2 linked regions of the Lepisosteus oculatus genome follow. The protein of the gene in region 2 interacts with the protein of the main gene of each other region in a pairwise test. Links are inferred from orthologs where the notes say so. Each region holds a gene or a part of one and is shown on either strand. Other genes may lie near its edges.

Evidence for each region.
Region 1: the proteins of nipbla (region 2) and mau2 interact in binary tests that used the Homo sapiens proteins (3 or more experiments, as listed by UniProt). The link is inferred for Lepisosteus oculatus from reciprocal best matches to the Homo sapiens genes NIPBL and MAU2.

The regions. Positions count from the first base shown.
Region 1 is NC_090724.1:7,119,062-7,126,470, reverse strand, and holds the start of mau2 (MAU2 chromatid cohesion factor homolog), read right to left. Parts: upstream 3,041-7,409; 5' UTR 2,928-3,040; coding exon 2,694-2,927; intron 2,222-2,693; coding exon 2,204-2,221; intron 1,523-2,203; coding exon 1,457-1,522; intron 758-1,456; coding exon 662-757; intron 362-661; coding exon 267-361; intron 1-266. Other genes in the region: armc6 (armadillo repeat-containing protein 6), read left to right, coding at 4,169-4,289, 5,720-5,805, 6,669-7,239. UniProt on the Homo sapiens protein: Plays an important role in the loading of the cohesin complex on to DNA. Forms a heterodimeric complex (also known as cohesin loading complex) with NIPBL/SCC2 which mediates the loading of the cohesin complex onto chromatin.
Region 2 is NC_090698.1:15,499,665-15,506,789, reverse strand, and holds the start of nipbla (nipped-B-like protein A), read right to left. Parts: upstream 3,025-7,125; 5' UTR 2,907-3,024; intron 1-2,906. UniProt on the Homo sapiens protein: Plays an important role in the loading of the cohesin complex on to DNA. Forms a heterodimeric complex (also known as cohesin loading complex) with MAU2/SCC4 which mediates the loading of the cohesin complex onto chromatin.

The sequences.
Region 1 (7,409 bases), on a different chromosome or scaffold from region 2:
GAGTAGAAGGACGGGGAGATAAGCAGTCATCAAAAAGACACTATGTCATGCATCTTTAAGGCGATCCCCTATCACATTAAATTAATTTTAATACTTCTAAATTGCAACCTCCTCATAAGTATTTATGAAATGTCACCACAACACGTGATGACTTAAAAAAACCCACTGCTACAAATAAAAGTAATACACTTAAAATAGTTAACCTGCTAACGTCACGCAGCATTCTTAAGCACACTCAGCTGTCCATATAGGAGAATTTCCAGTACCTGGTGTATTCTGAGCCTACAACCCTGGCATATTCAGCTCCCACCCCCAGGAGATCACAGGCCGACACCAGGTCCTTCTCCAAGGTGTGCAATTGCTGTACAAAAGAAACCAACCTCTGCTTCAGCAATAAGCACTCGCTTATTTCACACAACATTCCCACAATGTCAAAAGCTTAGTCAATTTGGCATTCTCAAATTAACAACAAGCATCTATGTATAAGGGAAAGGCTGTATTTTGACACATAGGCTAGAAGAAATACGCTCAACAGAACTGAAAGGCTTTAAGATGACGACAATAATGTGTGCCCTTTAAAAATAAAGTTCGGACCATCACAAGTTCGACAGTAAAAGTAATATGGAAGGACAGAAAAAAGGCTTCAAATCTGTGCTCTTACCGCCAGCTGGAACAGCAGTCGGCAGTGCCAGTACGGCGTCTGCTGAGAGATCTGAATGGCCTTGCGGAGCAGGGGCTTCGCCGAGTCGACCGAGTTCTACACGTGGAGAGAGGGCAGGACAGGGAAGAAAGACAAACACGTTGCTCGCACATTTCACCGAGGAGATAAAAGGCTTTGAAGAAAGTGCAGATGCACTTTGAAAGGGCTGCCTATGTCACAAAAGGTACCAGTCTGGATAAGATGTTGATTTTAAGATGACTGAGGCGGCAGGTGCCTCACTGAGGCAGCGCTGATGCCCCAGGTTTCAATTCGAGACCTGGGGTGCTATGTGCATGAAGAGGGTATGCCCTCCCCGTGTCTGTGCGGGCCTCCTCCCACAGTCCAAAGACGTGCTGGTAGGTTATTTGGTTTCTGGGAAAACTGGCCCCGGAGGGAGTGTTTGTGTCTGTGTGTGCCCTGCAGTGGACCGGCGTCCTGTCCAGGGTGTACCCTGCCTTGCACCAGTTGCTTGCAAGGAAGGGCTTCGACTCCCCAGCGAGAATCGGATGAAGCAGTTAGAAAATGGATGGATTATGACAGAGAGCAGCAAAACACCCATCTCTTAAGGATGGGACAGGCACAGAACAGGAAAAACGGATGACCAAATAAGATGGGGCGATCCAGTCAGTTTGATCAAACTTATAAACAGATGCATCATTTTTACTTGACGGGATGTTTATAGAGACAACCGGGAGCCAAGACAATCCCCAAGGTTCTCTCACAACAAAACACAAAGCAAGAATTTAAGAGGCTTACCTGCTGGCAATAAAGTTCAGACAGCAGACTTGCAGCTTCAAACTTGACATCTTCAAACTGAGGGACCTAGGGGTTGCTTGGTGAAGGAAATTACTCTTCCATTACTGTCCTGACAATACTGAAGCGAAAGCAAGTTGTCTTTCGGCCAAATCAAAGTAAAACGTTTTCCAGCATAAGCCCGGTTACAAAAGAGAGGAGGCCATTCGACCCATCCAGCGAGTTGGGTCATGAGCTGCTCACTGATCCTTCGATCCCAACCAAATGTTTAATGAGAGAAGCCAGGGTATTGACTTCCAACGACATGACTGGGTAACCTTGTTCCAGACTCCTACAACCCTCTGCGTAAAGAAGCACCTGCTGTTCTTGGTATTACAAGAACTTCCACATGCTTTCCCACTTGTGATCCCTGGCTCCCAATTCAGTGCTCGCTGTGAAGTAACCTGCTGGGTTGACTCAGTCACTGACTTTGGGGATTTTGGAAACTTGCATCAGGTCTGCCTTGTAGCGATCTGACAGCTATCAGCAAATACTGTGCAATACTCGACCAGAAACAGGTAAATGCGATATTACATATTTAGGGTGAATAAGCAAAGTGTAGACTTCAGTTTCATTTTTTGCCGAAGTTCACGTAACATAGCGTAGTAAAGAAAAGTAACAATATGGTACCTTGACCCCTTGAACCGGTATGACAGTAACAAGCAACCAACGTAACTTATTCCTGAGCAGTGCCCATGTGAAAAAGGATACTTGTTGAGACACCATCCACTGCAGAGAAAAAAAAATATTAGTAACATAATAACTGTTAGATCGTGAACCATAGTCACAGGTTTATTTTGAAAATGAATTAAAAAAAAGTTTAAATCATCCATCAAAATGCAGCTCTTGTGGATCTTAAACATTTCCATCCGAAAAAGACCCCTGCAACAAGCACCGCCACTACTTATTTGTGGCGGTGAAAGACGCCTTATTGGGTAACTAATTTTGAAATGCTCAACTTCATAATCGAGTAACATTCAGCTGAAATAATATGGCAACACTTTCGTTGTAAAGAAAAGTCGCTCATTTTTTAATAGACGCAAATGTGTCGCATTCTAATTCAAGAACTACACTGAAGATTTTATTTGATTTAGGGGTCTTGTTACAGAACTCTTCCTCTCTCATAGTACACTTTACAGACGTGGCCTTCATTTCCCCGCCTCCCTCACGAATCCCCGGTCTTTCCTGCGCTACCCCTCACCGCTTGCTCCAGGTGGTTTCTGGCGAGATCGCTGTTCTTGGTGTGATGATACAGCACCGAGCCTAGCTGAAGGTGAGTGCGGGCTTCGACCCTTTGTGGCGGCTTGAACTGAAAGACAGCCTGAAGACAGTGGACACAGAGGCGTATCTTAGGAGGACTTGAGGTACGGAAGTGCTCCGCAAAGCCGAGCAGGGCGAGGTACCATGACTCCGGGGCCTCACCGCCAGACGCCATTTTACCGACAACAACAACAACCACCACAGCTACCGCTGTTCCAACACCGCGGGATTTGAGATCAGAACGAGAATACAACGGGACTTGGACCGAATGGTCCCCCGGGATATGTAGTTTAACACTACCGTCACCTTTTATTTCTGTTTTCCAATCCCGATTTGCAATTTTTTGTATTATTTTAACAGATGGATAATTTAAGAAAATATCAAGTTTATAAAAACCTATAATAAAATTTCTGATAAATGATCAATTTAGCAAAACAGATTTCAACATTATATAGCTTTTTAAGTTGAAAAACGTACGAAGCAAAATCAACCTGCCTTACTGTGATGAATGTATTCATTATCTATATTTATATATTATTTTACGATTGCCACTGAGAATGTTGTTTTGTTGATAGGAAAAGGGTGGACTAGGAACTAAAGTGCTGCGGAACTCAATAATTCCGACACAAGCAAAACACGGAACGACAACACAGCGTCCTGTTCATCGACCTATTCTTAAAATACATAGCCCCACATTTGGACGTAGGTCCTTTATCGTGATTCCTGCCTACGATACTTCCGTAGCGTTAGCGGTTTCTAGGTTTATTCATCCCAGTGACAGTTGTAGTTGATCTGGGCGGCAGTAAATGGTGTCTGGGTACTGTGTTTAAATGCAAAGCGATTGCTTTAAAAAGAGAAATATCTGGACCTACATAGAGGTATGTTTATATATATTTCATAGTGATTTGAACCGCAGGTATTTATTTAATTGCGCTTTGGTTTTTTTTTGGTGTTAAAAATAGAATAAGAGTGCATAAGTAATCCTTCTCATCTTTACGGCATTTAAGTCGTAGTGATTTGCACGGTGTTGCCTTAAGGCTCGAAGAAAGAATCGAGGCGTTTGTAAAAGGACGACAGCTTTTGCGTTAGCCTTAACTGTGCACTGTGTAACAATGCAGCCGCAACAGCATAATGGAAAAGGATGCGCTGTAAAGGAAAAAAAACCCGAAATGCACTCGTCTTGTTTATAGGGGCACGCCACATACATATTTTTATATAACATATACATTTAATGCTTCTTGCCAGTACAGCACAGTACGAGGTCTTAGGCATTCACAGCAATACCAGGGCTTTGTGAACGGCCTCGTAAAACAACACGGCACCGTAATCTTGCTGCATCTCCCCAGCTGGCTGTCTCTGCGTGCTGTGTTCAGCTCTCAGGTTTCCGGGAACCGGCCGGTTTTGTCGGGAGCGAAGATGGCGAGTCGTCGGATCGCGCAGGAGACTTTCGACGCGGTGGTGAAGGAGAACATGGAGGAGTTCGAGATGGACGCCGCCGAGGCGCTGATCGAGGCGGTGCAACAGTTCGAGTCTCAGGGTACGAGGAGATAAGTTACCCCCGCTGATGGCCCTTTAACGCAATGGCTCCCCATCCTGCCGGGTTTTGAGCTCTCCGTGAAATAATCGGACCCTTAACTGACACCTGATAATCAATTAAATTTGAAGTCTGACTGTTTCCAGAGTCCTCCTAAGCTTGTAGGACCTTGCCCTTTAACTTAACGTTTCGGCTGTAGAGCCGAAGAAGGCTCCACAGCCAAAACGTTGTGTTTCCTTTCTTTTCTGGATGGAATAAACCTTTACTTGTTCCTTGCAACCTACGCATGCTGACGCAGCTCCCCTACTTGAACAACTTCAGCCCTTTCATTTACATGACTTCCTAAGCTAACTTCACATCTCCAAACTTTGAGTTGGGGAAAAATCTGGGTTCAATAAAGGATACACTGAAGCAAACAGTTTAGCTGGGATAAAAGCTAGCAGGTGTGGGGATCCCATGGCTGAACCCCAGGAACTGTTGTATCAGGGGAGCCCAACTCTGGTTCTGAAGACACCCCAAACCATCCAGTCAGTCTGATTGGTCACCCTTAAATGGCCAGTTTATAAAGATTCAGAAAAACATGCCTTTTGTACAAATGAGTAAATTGATTGGTATAATTATGTTGGGGAAATGGCCGGCTGTTGTCCTTGAGAGCCGCAGTGTCTTTATGTACGTTTTCATTTTGGATTGTTTCTAAGTTACTCCATTTTAACAAGTCAATTTATTAAAATGGTGAAACTGTAATTCACTCCTGCTGGAATTCTGTGGACTGTTTTAAATCTGGTTCCGAATTGTCTCAGTCAGGACTAAAACTGATAATAGATGACAAATTATAATTGAATTCCCTGTCTGACAGTTTACAACTGTCTTTAAACAGTACCAAAAACATCACTAAACATCCTTTTGTTGAAAACATGCACTTTCTTTACTCTTGTTATTGATTAATGTGCACAGAATGAGAAATGCAAGCACCAGCAGACTTTGCTTTTACGAGTTTGCATTAACAAAGGCACTGTGTAAATGGAAAGGCACAGAGAAAATGAGCCTGTTAGAAAAATTAACAAGTCACTGCTGTTCATTAAGTATGAACATTTTGGAACAGTTAGCACATGCTCTCCAAGATGCAGCAGTTAAAGCAAAAAAAAAAAATGGTCTCGCTCTCCTTAAATGACTTCTTGTTTCTGACTGATTCAACCACAACATCAGACATGAGGTGTGCCACTGTCTGGGGCTGGGCTGACAAAATCACGTGCAATTCTGTCAGGAGCTCGCGTGTAGAAACTGGCGATTTAAGGGTAATCTATGAAGGGACAAGTAAAGGTTATTTTAACACTGAGAAAGAAAAAAAAACAATATTTTGGCTGTTGACACTATGCAAGAGTGAAAGGGAAGAGCTGATAGGAAATGAGGCTCTTGCATGTGTTCATTTCCAGGTGTGGACCTCAGTAATATTGTGAAGGCTGTCCGGACGACTGCTTCAGAGGACACCGAAGAGGAGCAGACACACAGTGTTCTGCAGGTGATGACAATAAAGCCAGACCATTGAGTGAGGCTGTGTAAGTCTCTTTACAAGGGGTGGCCAATGTGTACTATGGTAAAAGCAGAGTGAAGTGTGATGTAACGTGGTGAAATTGTGTCCAAAACTGTGTTACAGCATTACTGGGTCTAGCAATGCACAGTACAAGCTGTAAGATGGCATGTGAAAGTAGAAACAAAAAAGTGCTGAAAGCATGGTACAACTGTAAAATTGTGGTGCAGAGCCAGCGCCGTGATCTTATCCATAATGTCCAGCAAGATAGTCGTGTTTTGTAATATATACTCGTATCCAAAAATGTTACGTTGACTTCCGAACCCACAGCAAATAAAACACCCTTTGAAAATGCAGACTTTCATAAATAAATCAGGCACAAGTATATCTGAATTTATAAGTAAATGTTTAAGCAACATTTCACAGAAGCTCTCGGCAGCCCTTGGGATGGAGGCAGTGACCCAGGGGTTTCCGGTGCAGTCTGCCTTGTGCCGCTGAGCGATTTCTTTCTAGCTGATCCGGTTTCCTTTTTTGTCATGTGTTTTGGGACACAGATGAGGTCAAGGTTATTGGCTAAGGGGTACAATAATAATAAGATAAAAATAATATAGCTCCTTTCATTCCTCAAAGTGCTTTGCAGAGGGAGCATAAAATAACCTAATGCAAATTATGAGAGGTCACATAAAAGATAATGACAATGATAACAGGAAATGCACAAATAAAGGGTAATAACAAGGAATTAAAGTAAAAATTGTAATGATGCAAAATAAAAAAGGTAAGATGTGTTTAAAAGGAATAACATGTCAATATAAAGAGACAATGTAAAATTGTTTTCCACACTTCTGTGTTCCTAGGCTTTAGAGTCTCTGCAGACCTCCCTGAAGTCCTCCTCTACAGACAGCTTGTGTGAGGGTCTGCAGCGCTTCACAGAGCAGTGCAAGATGGACTTTTCTCACCGCTACTTGGCTGCCCAGAAGGATGCCTATCCCATAATCCTCTCCTACTGCAAGAAGGCAGGCGGAGAGAGGAGACCTCTGCTGGCAGCCCTAGGGGCCCTGGCAGCCCTGACAGATGGACAGCCAGACCTGCTGGACACAGATGGGCGAGACTTTCTGATGGGCGTCTATAACGAGCACCAGGACGACCCTGGCGTGACCTGCCTGGCCGTCCGAGTCGTGCGCCACTGCTGCTTGAAGCACGAGCAGAACCGACAGGACCTGGTGAAGGCCGGCGTGCTGGCGCTGCTGACGGGCACCATCTCACGGTACAACTCCCAGCCAGAGTTAGTCAGGGAGGCCTGTGCCACGCTTAGGGTCATGACCTTCGATGATGATGTAAGAGTCCCTTTTGGCCACGCCCATGACCATGCCAAGATGATTGTGCTGGAGCATAGTGGGTTAAAGGTCATCATCAAGGCAGCAGAAGGTAAGATGACGCAGAGCTGAAGTTATCAATTCAACTACATTTAATTAAAATATAATTAAGTCTGTGGGAATCTGACATCAAGCATTTTCCCTCTTTGTTGTGAAACCCGGCGGTTACTACGTGTAAGACCAAGTATAGTTGGGGTTAAAGGTCATACCCAGTCAGCCATA
Region 2 (7,125 bases):
AGCATGGAAAGTGCCACAAATCTCAATTTGTCTTTTTGAATATTTGGAATAGCCCTCATTTCCAATTCATCTCTATCACAAAGGCATACAACCAACCAAAATATCAAGGCCAGCACTGTTGAAGCTTATTCTATTGTTCATGTGAACATTCTCCACTGATTCTGTGCAGCACTTGACACAGTTCCTTAGAAAGCTCATTCAAAAGAAACACAAAGCAAACCAGCTCATGGTGAACTTATCCCCTGTCTAATCAGCATTCCCTGTCAGAATAATTCACATCTATGGACATAAGCAATTGCTTTTTTCAGGTACACTCCATGACTGGAAAATAGGAACATCAGCATAAGAATAGTTGTAAACAAGAGGAGGGCATTTAACCTGTATTGCTTGTTCAAATGAAAGATGCTTATTTGTCAAAGGATCTCATCCAGCTGTTTCCTGAAGAATTTGAGGGAAAGTTTCAACCATAGTTCCTGCTTATGCATATATCGTGCATGGTACTACGAGATCTTTTGATGGAAAATTTGAAATAAATATATTAGATTCTTTAAAATAAAAATGATGTGGGTAGTAGGAAAATCCGGCAACCAAATAAGCCACTTTTAAAGGATGTCTGTTATTTTATTATTTGATTTTCCTAAAACCTGTGTTATGCCCAATTCAATTACAGCAAAATGAATTTAGCCATACTTTTAAACAGGCAACACAAAACCCATCTTAAAGTTAAGCAAAGGTTCCAGGGGTCTGAGTTAACATCAGAGGTGAAATACCTGAATGTACACAAATGTACACTATGACTTCACAGTAATGGCAACCATGTGTTCTAATAATGATAACGTATTATGAAAATGAGAGGAAGGCACTATTGTTTGAACAGAAAAACAAGCAGTTTTAAGCCCCATGTGTGCTGGCAGTCACTCGCACTTGCGGTCTGCTGGCTGTGCGAAGGGTCAGTGCCCAGCCCTTGACTGCCAAACTGTACAGCCATCCTTCCCCACAGGGGTCACCCCCCCACACCGAGGGCCGGCCCAGAGAGACGAAGACAGCACCTGTACTTCCTCAATGGAGGCCGTGTGCCGCATATTACAGCTGGTGAGCTGTGGGCATCCCTTGAATTCAACCTTTATGGGATTAAGCGGATAAAAACTTCACGTGGGAGACCGAACGGGAACGGTCTGCGATTCTGGATCCTGCCCACGGTCCACAGCGGCTGCAGGGTTCAGAGAGATGCCCGCGGCGCCAACCTGCCCATGCGGGAGTTCACGTGGGCAGGACATTTGGTTTTGGGGCGGCCCTGCGCCTGTGAACAAAACACTCCCTCTCAGAGAAGAAAAGGTTGTGAAACTTCTCAAACGGAGGTGCCAACCATAAGGTTCAATGGATTTATCCTACGGGCATTTCCACAAATCCTTTTTCTAATTTTACTGTCAATTTCTGGGAATTTGACAATAATTATGATCTCTTTGTTTTAAGTGTAATACAGTAGACTGTATATACATAGTAGTAATCGCCGTACAAGTGTACCCCTGCGCCCACAGAGTCTCTGCTGAGCTAGTGACAGACAGAAGGCGTGCACATTTTACACTGACAATGAGGGTATCGGCTCATCACTGCAGCCTTATTGAACATTAAATAGGAGAAGTAACTTGTTTTTTAGTGAATGCTAGTGGTACAGTAATGACAGGTCTATCCATGTCTGTACCAGTAGAGAGAGATGTCATTACAGGGGCTGTAGTGTGGAGTGGTGGGAAGGGCTCTGGACTCCAGGTCATCATTGCAAATGAGACCTTGTTCTTCTCCACTAGCTCATCAGGTTGAACACAGGATTAAGTGAAAAGCCCTTGCTTCCATTTTTATTCTGCAGTCTGATCACTGGATGCCTTTGCCTTTTAGAGATATTCAAAACACCTTTGATGGAACTTCCTCAAACTACCTGCAGCTTGGAAAAGATTAACCTTTTTTGTCATTTAAAAATGATTTGTCCATTAAACAGGAGCCCTTTAAGGGTTCAGCAGTCTAAAACTGAATATGGTTTGCAATTTTTAACTTGCACATAATAAATGTTCCACTGCAGTCCAGTCTTCAACGTTTTTAATTCACATTTAAATCACACACAGACAGGTTATACTATTTGTGTGTAACCTTGTTCATACGTTTTAAACTTCATTTTAGATCATTTTAATGATCGAAATGAAGAAATTGTCATTAAATATTATTTAACACACACATAAGTGGGTATCAGTGCTTGTATTTAGTTCTGAATATAACATGACCCTTGTTTTTGTGCACACAAATGCACTTTTGTATCCAAAAGTAAAATTACGTTAGGGAAGGTCACCACAACACCTGGAAAATAATTGCTATCGTTAAATGAAACACGTAAAATGGAGAATCACGATTAAAGTGTAATTCAATCCCAGGAACAGCTCGGGACTGCATGCATTACTTCGGTGTTCGCTCGGAGTGACACACAGGCTGCAGCCCGCCCTCTTGTGGCGCAGGCGCGAAGTGCAGCCCTTGGCCGGCGACAGTATCGAGGTGTCATGTGGGCACACGTCTTATTACCAGGGCAATCCCCATTCACAGGGTCGGGTTCTGTGACAGTCCTGTTTAAATGAGGAGCTGGCCTACTTGACGAAACACTGGCCAAGGAAAACACGAGGAAAACAAATCTGGCCATGCGTAAGACTACCATTAAGTAACGATGAAGTCGTCTCATTAAGTTTTATTTTCATTATAAAAGGCAGTCCAATCAATAAATCGATGTCACACACGCATCTTCACCAAATACATCAATCGATAACCTGTATACAGACCGACGTCAGCATATCGATCAGCGTGCGTCGTCCGTCAATCAGATATCAGGCTGGTAAGTATACAGCCGAGGAAGGACAAAAAATACTCACCCAGGTAAGTAAAGGCAACGTCTCGGTTCGTGGCTTTAAGCGTCCCGGTTTATTTCTTCAAAGAACAGCGTGGTAAATGAACTTCGGGTGCGTTTAAAATATATATACAACCCGAGGCAGATGAACTCAATCTCGATGAGGCGGCGTTGCTAAGGGCAGCGGGTTACTACTGGCCGCGCGCTCACCTGAACCGGAACACCGTCTCGAGACGTGTCGGGGGAGGATCATGGTCTAGACTCTAGAGACTCTGCCCGTGGACTTTCACAGCACAGCGCAACTGACCCCTGAGGGCATCCACAGTGCGTTTAGAGCTCCTGTTCCAAACGCCCACAGCTCTTTGTGTAGGGACAGCTTTCTACTCCTTTTCCTGCTCATTTGTTCTCTGTTTTCCTTTGGTGCACAAAGTTCTTGTTGGGGTTTATTCTCTGCGAATTCTTCTTTAAGGGAAACCTTAAATGCCCCCTTTTTCTCTTTCCTAAGTCCTCTCTGTTCCAAATTAAAGTACCTCTACCTGTTCAAGCAAAACTCAAAACACAGTCCAAGAGAACAAGACAGAATATTCAAACTAACTGCAGAACCTCACACCTAAATATTGTCCCTCTGTGAAAGTTGGTTGTGGAGTACTATGGTAAAAGGTAGACTTTGGAACAGTAACGCTGAACCTGTGCCATCAAGATTGGCCCCTTGATTCTGACATGTATAGTGCACATTCAGGTTACTAGCATGCAGTGGTTCACACTTGGCGTAAAGTGTACACCTGGTGTACCCTCTGGATTCACTGTAGCTAAGTGACAGGAGCAGCACTTTGTCTCCTGATGTCATCTGTCCTCCTAAGCTCAGCCAGGCTGGGCCCGTTCAGTACTGGGGCTGGAGACCTGCATGGAAATCCAGGTGCTGCAAGTGGTTTTGCTGGACCAGTAAGTGGTGCTCTTCCCTCTAGCCCCAGGTTTCCGCACTAGAACCCCTCAATGGTGACAGGGGAACTGTGCTGTAGGAGGCGCTGACTTTGAAGAGATGTTAAACACAGATCATGACGAACTTGGTCGTTAAAGATCCCAGGGTGCAGTTTTGTAAGAGTAGGGCTGTTCGACTTCAGGGAAATTCCACTTGGTGCTTTCTCAAGCTGACCTTCTTAATCTAAATTAGAAAATCTGTTTCAGCTGGTGAGGCAGTTTCTCCTCTCTCTCCCTGTGGGACTACAATGTGTTTACTGCTGTGAGGCTGCTGTGTGTCTCCCACTGTGAGACTGCTGTGTGTTTCCCACGGTGAGGTTGCTGTGTGTCTCCCACTGTGAGACTGCTGTGTGTTTCCCACTGTGAGGTTGCTGTGTGTCTCCCACTGTGAGACTGCTGTGTGTTTCCCACTGTGAGGTTGCTGTGTGTCTCCCACTGTGAGACTGCTGTGTGTTTCCCACTGTGAGGTTGCTGTGTGTCTCCCACTGTGAGACTGCTGTGTGTTTCCCACTGTGAGACTGCTGTGTGTTTCCCACTGTGAGGTTGCTGTGTGTCTCCTTCCGTGGGGTTGCTGTGTGTCTCCCAATGTGGGGCTGCTGTGTCTCCCACTGTGGGGCTGCTGTATGTCTCCCAATGTGGGGCTGATGTGTCTCCTGATGTGGAGCTGCTGTGTGTCTCCCACTGTGGGGCTGCGGTGTCTCTCGCTGTGGGGCTGCTGTATGTCTCCCAATGTGGGGCTGCTGTGTCTCCCGATGTGGAGATGCTGTGTGTCTCCCACTGTGGGGCTGCGGTGTCTCCCCCTGTGGGGCTTCTGTGTGTCTCCCGCTGTGGGGCTGCTGAGTGTCTCCCACTTTGGGGCTACAGTGTCTCCCACTGTGGGGCTACTGTATGTCTCCCACTGAGAGGCTGCTGTGTGTTTCCCGCTGGGGGGCTGCTGTGTCTCCCACTGTGAGGCTGCTGTGTGTCTCCTGCTTTGGGGCTGCTGTGTGTCTCCTGCTGTCTAACTCTGCCCCCTGCTGGTGTGAAGTCTAACTGCTTCTCACTGCAGGTGAAGAGGGAAGAGTGAGCTGCAGAACCCGGTCACTTGTTTGATTATTAGGAGGTCACATGTTTCCCCGCCCCTGACCCTGGGCTATTGAAGGCTGTCTGTAGAACCTGCAGGCCAGTGGCTCTCCAGGAGCAGGGGTCCAGAGGCCTGTCTCAGACCCATAGGCCTCCATAATTCCCTCCCTGGAGCTCATATTTGTCCAACATTTCCCCATACTGGGAATATAGACAGTGTTCTCCCTGATATCCTGGATGTATCTTTTAACTATATATCCTAATACTGTTTGCATTTCTTATCGGTGCCCTACATTGTCTAGAAGATGTGAATGATGTGTCAACACAAACACCAAAGTCTTTTTCATGAGTGGCCTATTCAGGCTCAGTGCTTCCCATCTGGTTTTTGATCCCTGCATTCAGAACTTGCACTTTACACTCGCATGCAAGAAATGTCATGTCAGGTGTTTCGAAGTCTCTCTAAATATCTCATTTCTAATTTAAAGATCTAAAGCTTCTACAGTGTTTGCTGTTCCTTTTACTGTGGCATCATCTGCAAACTTCGCTAGTTCACAAATTCTACCAGAATCTAGACATTGATATAAATTAGGGAGAGCTGTGGTCTGAGTACGGATCTCTGTGGAACTCCACTGATGATATTGCCCCAGCCTGAGTATTGACTCCTAACAGCTGAAGATAGTTAATTCTACTGTCACATGCACCCTATCCACCTTGAATGTGATTTTGATTTACTTTGGATAAACCCATCCTCCAAATGAATAAATGTAAGTGTAACACACATTTACCATTAGCCAAATGATTAAATGCAATGTTCTGTCTCATTGCGAAGTTGTTCCAGAGGTCTCAAGGCAGGTGACAACCACACTGAGGCTGCACTGAGATGGTGTGTGTAGATATTATGATCTCACACATCACCTAAGCTAGCGGTTGTCTTGTTCGATGGCTGCTTGTCAGACACCAACTTTTTCCCTGTAGAGTCAGAATCTAGTAACAGGGATGGCTGCTTTTGTCTGATTTGACACAGGAAAGAAAAAACCTAAAATACTAACAGAGTGCAATACAAACCAGAAAAAAACATAATTATTTCTATTACTGTCTGCGTAGTGAGACCTGGAATGGAGTATCGAACATTTCTTATTGTTTCACTTCTTAAAAAACTGTTTTCTACAAATGTGAGCGGTCAGTGGTGGCAGTTTCCCTTTGACACTGGCCCCTTCCGTCCAAACATCAGCTATCTTGTCCCGTTAACGAAGCCGTTTGCTCCTGCAACAGGAAGTGCCGATTCCAGCTTCCTGTGTTTACTCAGACACACCTCAAAAAGATGGTGTTCCTGCCCAGGGGACCCAGGACATCTATCACGGAGAGGTCATGCACGCGAGTCTCAGGGGAAGTACAGTTTGGTCACACAGACTTTGCTTCAGATCATGTCATTTTCTTTGGGCTAAGTGACAAGAAAAGCATGAACTGCAGCAGAAAGAAGAAACTCAAATCTCTGTAGGAATTTCCATTTCCACACATAGATCATATATATCATTTTCATATGTGTTACAAATAACACAGAAGTACTATAAAAGCTCAGTGTCAAAATTTAGAAATAATAAGCTAATATATAGACTGTAATATGTGACGTGTTAATTTGCCTACATCAGTGTTTTCACCTGTATCATCGAATCAATCAGATGCAAAAATAGGATTTGGGGGAAAATGTGCCCTCTCGTGGTGGCAGTATATAATACCAGTTAAAAATTAAGGATGTATGCTGTGTTTGCATAAGGTCCAGATTTAATTTTGTATTATTTATAGAAACAAAAGAATGACTGCAAATTTTCTACTAAAAACATAGATGACAGAACAGAAAGCCTTAAAGAACTATTTTAGAATACTATGTACAATTAGTACATGCTTAAAAGAAAAATACTGCATCAGTGGTGTCAGTCCAGAGAAGAGCTACCGGATACAGTGCTTAAAGGAATGTCCGAACCTGACAGCCAAAAGGAACTGAAACTTTTTAGGTTTGTTTTTTTAGTCTTGAACAGAGAAGACTACAGGGTGATTTAATTCACATGTTCAAAATCTTCAGAAGCACTAACAAAGTCTACCTGGCAGAATTCTCCAAAATATAAGCAGAGGACACAGGTGGAAACTGCTTGGATGTTCATGTAAATCTTCTTTGCCCAAAGAGTTGTGGGAGTGTGAAACAAGCT